Sus scrofa: one gene and its partner. The protein of the gene in region 2 purifies or fractionates together with the protein of the main gene of each other region. This does not show direct contact. Links are inferred from orthologs where the notes say so. Each region holds a gene or a part of one and is shown on either strand. Other genes may lie near its edges.

Evidence for each region. Proteins that work in one complex are often made in the same cells at the same time.
Region 1: the proteins of PTGES3 (region 2) and EGLN1 purify together in Homo sapiens (affinity purification with mass spectrometry; 5 studies listed by BioGRID and IntAct, with this or other methods). This does not show direct contact. The link is inferred for Sus scrofa from reciprocal best matches to the Homo sapiens genes PTGES3 and EGLN1.

Annotation. Positions count from the first base shown.
Region 1 is NC_010456.5:59,162,023-59,165,668, forward strand, and holds part of EGLN1 (egl nine homolog 1), read left to right. Parts: intron 1-1,029; coding exon 1,030-1,166; intron 1,167-3,461; coding exon 3,462-3,529; intron 3,530-3,646. UniProt on the Homo sapiens protein: Cellular oxygen sensor that catalyzes, under normoxic conditions, the post-translational formation of 4-hydroxyproline in hypoxia-inducible factor (HIF) alpha proteins.
Region 2 is NC_010447.5:22,019,274-22,023,019, reverse strand, and holds the start of PTGES3 (prostaglandin E synthase 3), read left to right. Parts: upstream 1-1,320; 5' UTR 1,321-1,677; coding exon 1,678-1,679; exon of another isoform or gene 1,680-2,211; intron 2,212-3,746. UniProt on the Homo sapiens protein: Cytosolic prostaglandin synthase that catalyzes the oxidoreduction of prostaglandin endoperoxide H2 (PGH2) to prostaglandin E2 (PGE2).

The DNA.
Region 1 (3,646 bases), on a different chromosome or scaffold from region 2:
AGGGCAAAGGGTCGGGTGGGGTTTGCCTCACTTTACACTCCTGTCCCCCAGAGTATAATTGCCACCAGGACAGCAGCTGTCTGAATTATTCCCTACTCTGCACGCAGGGCCCATGGCAGGTCCCAGAACAGTACACACTTTGAATGGGTGAGTGTGTCTAATCCCGCAGAGAAAGGGGATCCACAACGTAAACAGTGACGATCCTTTCTGAATGCAGTCCTGTTGTGTAGCAGGTAGTCATCTGTGTGTCAGGCCCAGTCCGGGCCGGGAGAGCTACAGGGTCTAGTAACAACCACAATGACAGGTGATAAATGATGACACTTGCTACTGATACATTTACTTCCTTAAACAAGCAGCCTTCAGATCTGTGACTGCCCTGTTGGTATTGTCTGTTGAACTTAAAAAGGTAACAAGCCATTTCTTTGAGTACTTAAGCTTTTGTAGTAATATAGTCAAGATGATTCAAAATGGATACATTTTGGAGTTCCCTCAGTGGTGCAGTGGGATTGGTGGCATCTCTGCAGCACTAGGACACAGGTTCAATACCCAGCCTAGCACAGTGGATTAAGGATCTGGTGATGCTGGAGCTTCAGTGTAGGTTGCACCTGTGGCTCGGATCTGATCCCTGGCCCGGGAACTCCGTGTTCCTCAGTTGGCCAAAAAAAATAAAGTTAAAAATTTTTTAAATGGATACATTTTTAAGAGTAGGTTAACACATCATCAGCACACATAAAAAAGACACGCTTCCTAGTTTGTCAGACTTTCAAGTGTCGTTTTAAGACTTTTGGATTCCGCTAATATTCATCTTTTTGATCAAGTATTTATAAAAATCCCTGAAGCACAGGATGATTTTTCCTTACGTCATTGCATGTACTTGAAATCCCAGCTCACCTTCAGACGTTAATTGAGATCTATTTGTGAATAATCCAGTGAGGACTTTGGATTTAGTGAAATGGTCTTTTCCCCCCCTAAATTTAATTTTGCGGCATTCTTGGTTACCCATACTTACATATTTGGTTCTTTTCCTAGGTAAGTGGAGGTATACTTCGAATTTTTCCAGAAGGCAAAGCCCAGTTTGCTGACATTGAACCCAAATTTGATAGACTGCTGTTTTTCTGGTCTGACCGTCGCAACCCTCATGAAGTACAACCAGCATATGCTACAAGGTAGTGTTCCTTTTAAGAAAAACTTGGTAAAGAGCATGGCAGGATAGGAGGGGATACCTAGGATAAAGCTGAGCATTTTCTAATGAGTATCTTCCTGTTCAGAACCGGTTTTAATTTGAATAACTTTATAAGATTGATTCATAGTACTAAATGTGAGTTTCTTTGCATCGCCTCTCCTGGTCTGGGGAAAGGCAGGAGGCACAGGCCCTCTCACCTTTCCAGCCCCATCTCCTTGTATTGTGCATCTCTTACCTACTGCCATTCACTTGGGGATAAAGATGAGATGGAGAAGGGAAGGAGCTGTTCAGGAGGGAGTGGGAGGCAGAGAGATGATGTAGAAGAATGGTGCTGGATAAGTAACCAGAATGAAAGTGGAGAGGAAAAAAGCGGGGGGTGGGGAAAGGAAAGTAGAGAAGAGGTTGCCATGTGTGGGAGTTAATGTTAGAAAAATAACCCTTCAGCTTTAATAGTAAGCATGTGTTAGGCTTACAATACGTGTTTTCCACGTTACACTTTTTCTGCAGAGTTCATTTTCTAAACCTATTAGGTTTAATGTGTTCTTAAATTTTTTTTCTTTTACCATGTACTATGACCAAATTCAAATGTTGACAATTAAAATGTTAGATGTTATCAAAATAAATAGTTGTTTTTAAGAAAAGTGCTCCTTTTTAAATACCCGTTTTTAACTCTATCAGGGACTTTGAGTATTATGATAGTGAATTACGGGCATGCAGTGCTTAGACCTGGTGAGATACCCTTAGCTGTGCCGGGAGAGACGCTGGCTTTGATAATGACCTTAGAGCCGGGCCAGCACTCTGAAGAGTGTCATCTCTCCTTCCTCTTTCTGAGTCACTTTGCCTTCAGCCCTAATTCATATGTAAACAGCAGGCTTGGCATCGTGTGGCTAGAGTCTAAGAAGCCGTGGATGGAACTCCGGGGCTCCCGTCCAGTCACAGGCATGCGGTCCTGCATCCTCACCCTCCTCTTGGCACCCCAGGGCCCGTCTCTGTCCCTTCTTCTTCTTCACAGCCTTTTCTGACTTTCAGGGACCTTCCTTTTTATAGATTCTTGAATATGGTCTGGTTTCTAGATGAAGAGAGAACAAGCATTTTAGGTAGTAAATAAATGCCAAATGATTCTGGAGTGTTCCAGGGGTTTGGAGGAGGGAGAAAGTGGCATAAAATTGGAATTGATGGGTCCGGAGTGGCAGCTGGGACCAAAGAGAACCAGGAGCACAGCAGTGCTGGCAAAGGGGGGTGGGGGTGGGGCCGCACATGTCTGGCGCAGAGGTGGGTGGGGAGGAGGGCTCTCTTGAGTACATGGATTGGGGGGGTGCAGCAGGAAAACAGTGACACGTGGCAGGTTACAGCTATTTTCTGGGAGGGGCTTGATCCAAATATTAGAAATCTGATTACTAAGTAACTAAAAGACTGGCACAAGTGCAGAAGAGATATGAAAGTATTTGTTTCTGCACCTTCCCCATCGCCGGGGCCCCCTGAAGAAATAGAAGAGGCTGTGTTTGTAAGCGCCGCAGGCGTTCTGCCGTCAGGAGGCCAGACCTTGACCTCAGCTCTGCCCCTCCGCAGCTGCGTGGTCTGGGGGCTCGGCTCCCCCGGGTGTCAAACTCCCTGACTCTGGCTCTACTCCGCCCTTGACTCTTTACTTCAAATATGTCACAGGATTTAGTTCTGTCCTGTTTGCTGGCTCTTCATCTGATTAGTGAGATCCCCCGGGAACACTGGCCAGAATCTGCAGGATACTAATTGCTCCGTTCTGCTGAGGAGCTGTCATTTGTAACATGCTTTTTACTTCCTGGAGTGTGTACACATTCTGCGTTATTGGTACTAGAATGTGTAACTGAGTGCCCTGTGGTGTTTAATAAACCAGAGATTCTTCGTTTATTTGTGGAATGAGATATTCCAAATGAATGAAATTTTCAGAAAAATGAAGCAGAACATGACATAGTTGACATATTTAACTTTCTTGATGATTCGAGGTTATAAAACTGTAAACATTCCCCTGTGGCTCAGCAGGTTAAGAACCGGCCTAGCATCCATGAGGCTGCGGCTTCGATCCCTGGGCTCGCTCAGTGGGCTAGGATCTGGCATTGCCTCGAGATGCAGTGTAGGTTGCAGACACAGCTGGGATCTGATGTTGCTGTGGCTGTGGCTTAGGTCAGCGGGTGCAGCTCTGATTCTTAGGCGTAACTTTGGCATTACGAGTTTTAGTAGATCTTTGCATACCCCTTTCCCCCCTAGTGTGATCATTCTTACCCTATTCTAAATTTTCTTTTAGGTACGCAATAACTGTTTGGTATTTTGATGCAGATGAGAGAGCACGAGCTAAAGTAAAATATCTAACAGGTAATCATTTGGGGCCAGGGTACCCTGGATGGAGGAGGCCGCCCAGCCACACGGTCCTCTCTGTGAGCCAGAGACTTGCTCCTTGTTTTTGTCTGATTCTTAAATCCTTCATTTAAA
Region 2 (3,746 bases):
GCTGGATCCTTAACCCACTGAGCAAGGTCAAGGATCAAACTCGCATCCACATGGATCCTAATCCAGTTCGTTTCTGCTGAGCCAGGAAAGGAACTCCAGACTCAAACATCTTGATGTATTTTGTTTTCCGAAATAAGCAGTAGGCTCCTTAGAATGACAGTATTTTTTTTTTTTTTTTTTTTAAAGGGCTACGTGGGCAGTATATGGAAGCTGCCAGGCTAGGGGTCAAATCAGAGCTGTAGTTGCTGGCCTACCCACAGCCACAGCAAGGCCAGATCTGAGCCGCAATCTGCAACCTACACCACAGCTGATGGCAGCTCCCCACCCTTAACCCACTGAGGCTAAGGATCGAACCCGCATCCTCATGGATAATCCAGTTTGTTATTGCTGAGCCACAATGGAACTCCAGAATCACAGTATTTGAGAGCTGGGGTTTAACTTTCTTTAACAGGATTGGAGCCTAGGGTCCAATGTCTGTAGTTCCCAACACCTGCCTTGCATAGCATAGACACTAATTAATGCTGCATATGAAGCTTCCAAACACTCTCCAAAATGTCTTACGGCACTTTCCTTAAACCTCCTCTGTGTCCTAACAAGCAGCGTATTGATGTATTTCTCCCTTACTTCCCGGCTAAGCGATTTCTAGAGTGGACAAGTTACCATTTTGATTCTCTTGGTTAGTAACACCCATTAGCACCTAACCAGGTAACAGCTGAAAAAAGATGAGGTTTCCCCCCTCCCCTACAGGATCAGCCTGGAGACTCCAAGTGTCCTGGTCTCTCCATTCCCGCAAACTTAGACTCATTTAATAACTTTCCTCTCGCATCAAAGCAGGTGCGAATGCCGGTCAGCCAAAGACCTCGAATTTCCGCGGCCCCTGGACAGGTTCTCCACCCCTCAGAAAGACGGCGAGGAGGACCCAGGCCTGTGACTCAGGTTAGCCCTTTCCCTCAAATATCACCAGCGGAGGCTTTGCCCATCTTTTTGCCGTAGACTGTTTTCTCAGTGAGCCGATGTACTCCCTCAAGTAACCGATCCCCTATTTCACTTTTCAAGCCTCCAGACTCTGCGTCCATCCGCCTCGGCCTTCCTCCCTCGGTTAACGCGACAGTTTCTCGGGGAGATCGCCCAAGGCGCGTGGCAGGGCGGTTAGGCGACCAACGGTTTCCACCGCGAGGAGGGGGGAGCGGGCAAAGCGGCGGGAACCAGTCGAGCCGGAGGCAGCCGACGTGGGGCGGGGCCAGCCCCGGGAAGGATCGCGAAGGAGCTGGGAAGCCCCGCCCTTTCCGTAGATATCTCTAGAAAGCCGCGCAGGAGCCCGAAAACAAAGAGTGCGCACGCGCGGCGGCTGGGCCCGGGCATTTTGCTGCGTCACCAGCCGCCGCCCGGCCTCACCACCCCTCGCTCGCACGCACGCACGTTCATTCTCCGTTCTCGCGCCCCTTTTCCTACACTTTCCTTTTCTCCCCGACCGGAGGAGTCGCTCTGCCCGCGCGGTGCATTCTGGGAACCCAGGTCTAGCCCGCCGCGCCGCCGCCGTCGCTTGAGGGAAAAGCGAAAAGAGGCCGCAATCGGGGAGAGGACGCCAGAGTCGCCACCGGAGAGGAGTCGACTGCCTACCAGCTGCCGCCGGAGAGGCCCGCCCACCCGTTCGCCCGTCCCCTTGCCCCGTTCACGATGTGAGTGCGACACGCCACCCAGGGAAGGTCGCCCTGGAGGGAGGCCGAGGCCGCGCGGGGGGGTGCCGGGAAGCCATCCCTTCCCCTCCCCCGCTTTCGGCTCCCTCGGCTTTTTCCCCCTCGGTAGCATTCGTTCTTGCTTGGGGGTGGGAGGTCCAGTATCCTTGTTCCGGTTACCGTTGGCGGGTGGAGGACATTTTTCCTCCAGATGTCCGCTTCCCCCATCTCTAAACCTTCCCTTTGCTTCCCCGTGCCGGAAACCCCACTTTCCCCCTTCGGCAGTGAGGGCTGCTCCCAACTCTTCGTAACTTAGCCTTAGGCCTTAATCTCCTGTGAGCTTTTGGCCACGCGGGCGCCTCGGAGGCGTGGACCCTCGTGGGCTGCCACTCCGCTCCTAGCGACCTAGGTCTGCTTCTGCCGCTGTGTGATGCTGGGACCAGGCCCGGGGACAAGTGCACCTGCGGTGGGTCCTACCCCACAGCTGCTGGTGCTCTTCGTAAGGCACCACGCGGCCCTCCACTGCGAGCGACAGGTACTGCTAGGCAACTGGAGGGAGGGAGGCCATGCTGTCGCCGCAACTTACTTCCCTCTCGGTGTCGTGATTGCCAGAGTATGGGTGTTTCCAGGCTTCTTCTTAACTCAGTCTCGCGAAGGGAGTGGAGGTTGCCAAAACTCAGCCGTTTCCCTGGTAGCGAGGCTTTACAATTGAGCAGGGAGTTCTGCACTTGTTAGAGTTGAAAGATACTTAGGGATATTTTCTGTGAAACTTTAGGTGAGGTTTCGTTATCCTATTTTAATTTAAGGATGAAACAGGTAGGTAATTGCCTTTTTGTTGCCTTAAGTTTGTTTACGTGGGGGTAATTTCAGATCTTTTAAAAGTCTTAGTTTTATGATAAAGGAAAACATTTTAACCGAGTGCGGTCTCTTGCATTGCCATTCCCAGCTTTACATTCTTTTCAGGAAAAGCCTTACCTTTTCAGATGTGAGAACTGCCTATTTTACAGTTTTTTGGTACCACGTACTCCTGAAAGTTACCTATGGAGATCAATTGAGGGGAAGAATTTTTATTTCTATAAAAAGTAATGGATTTTCAAGGGTTTACCTAGTAAAATGGTGATATTTGTGGTGAGTATATTGAATTAGATGTCTAAATGAATAAGGATACACTGTAGCCAATTGATGGAGAAGAAGGTTTGAGAAGAATGCATGTATTACTGTAAAATGACATGTTAGAATTTTGGAAGGATTTCCCCCATCCCAAGAAGTGGTATGTAATAGAAGACTTTAATCTGTGTAAAAGAACTTGTACTTTTCTTTTTGAAATTTCTATTCCAAATAATGTAGCAGGATTGTCATTTGTGAGAAAATGAATCTGGAGATAAAGCATTACCAACTTTTAGTAAACTAATGTAGCGGAACAAGAAATATCTTTATATGAAGAGATAACATGTTTAATACGGTTTGAAGTAGAAACACTTTTCAGAGATCATGTAGAATTGGTAAATAGGTAAGAAATGTTAAGTTATATAAAGAACTCAATGAAAAGTCTAACAATCAGTATTCCAAAAAGCAATCTATAATTAGAAGAATGCTATTTTGAAAATGAGTGTTTTGAAGAGACCAGGTAAATTTTACTCTGTTTAGTCAATATATGACATCTTGCAAATTCTTTAGGGGATCTTATTAATTAATGACTGAATGAATTTACAAGATGAATATTACCAGTCAGTTACTTGAGCTGGAGAAGACTTTTATTTTTGTTGTTGTCTTTTCTAGGGCCGCACCCCAAGCATATAGAGGTTCACAGGCTAGGGGCCTAATTAGAGCTGTAGCTGCCAGCCTACATCAGGGCCACAGCAACTCGGGATCTGAGCTGCGTCTGCACCCTACACCACAGCTCACAGCAACGCTGGATCCTTAACCCACTGAGCAAGGCCAGGGATTGAACCCGCAACCTCATGGTTCCTAGTCTCGGGTTCGTTAACCACTGAGCTACAGCGGGGACTCCGGAAAAGACTTCTAATGGGTCATCCAGCTCTAGAGAGAATCTGGCTGATGAAGATTCAT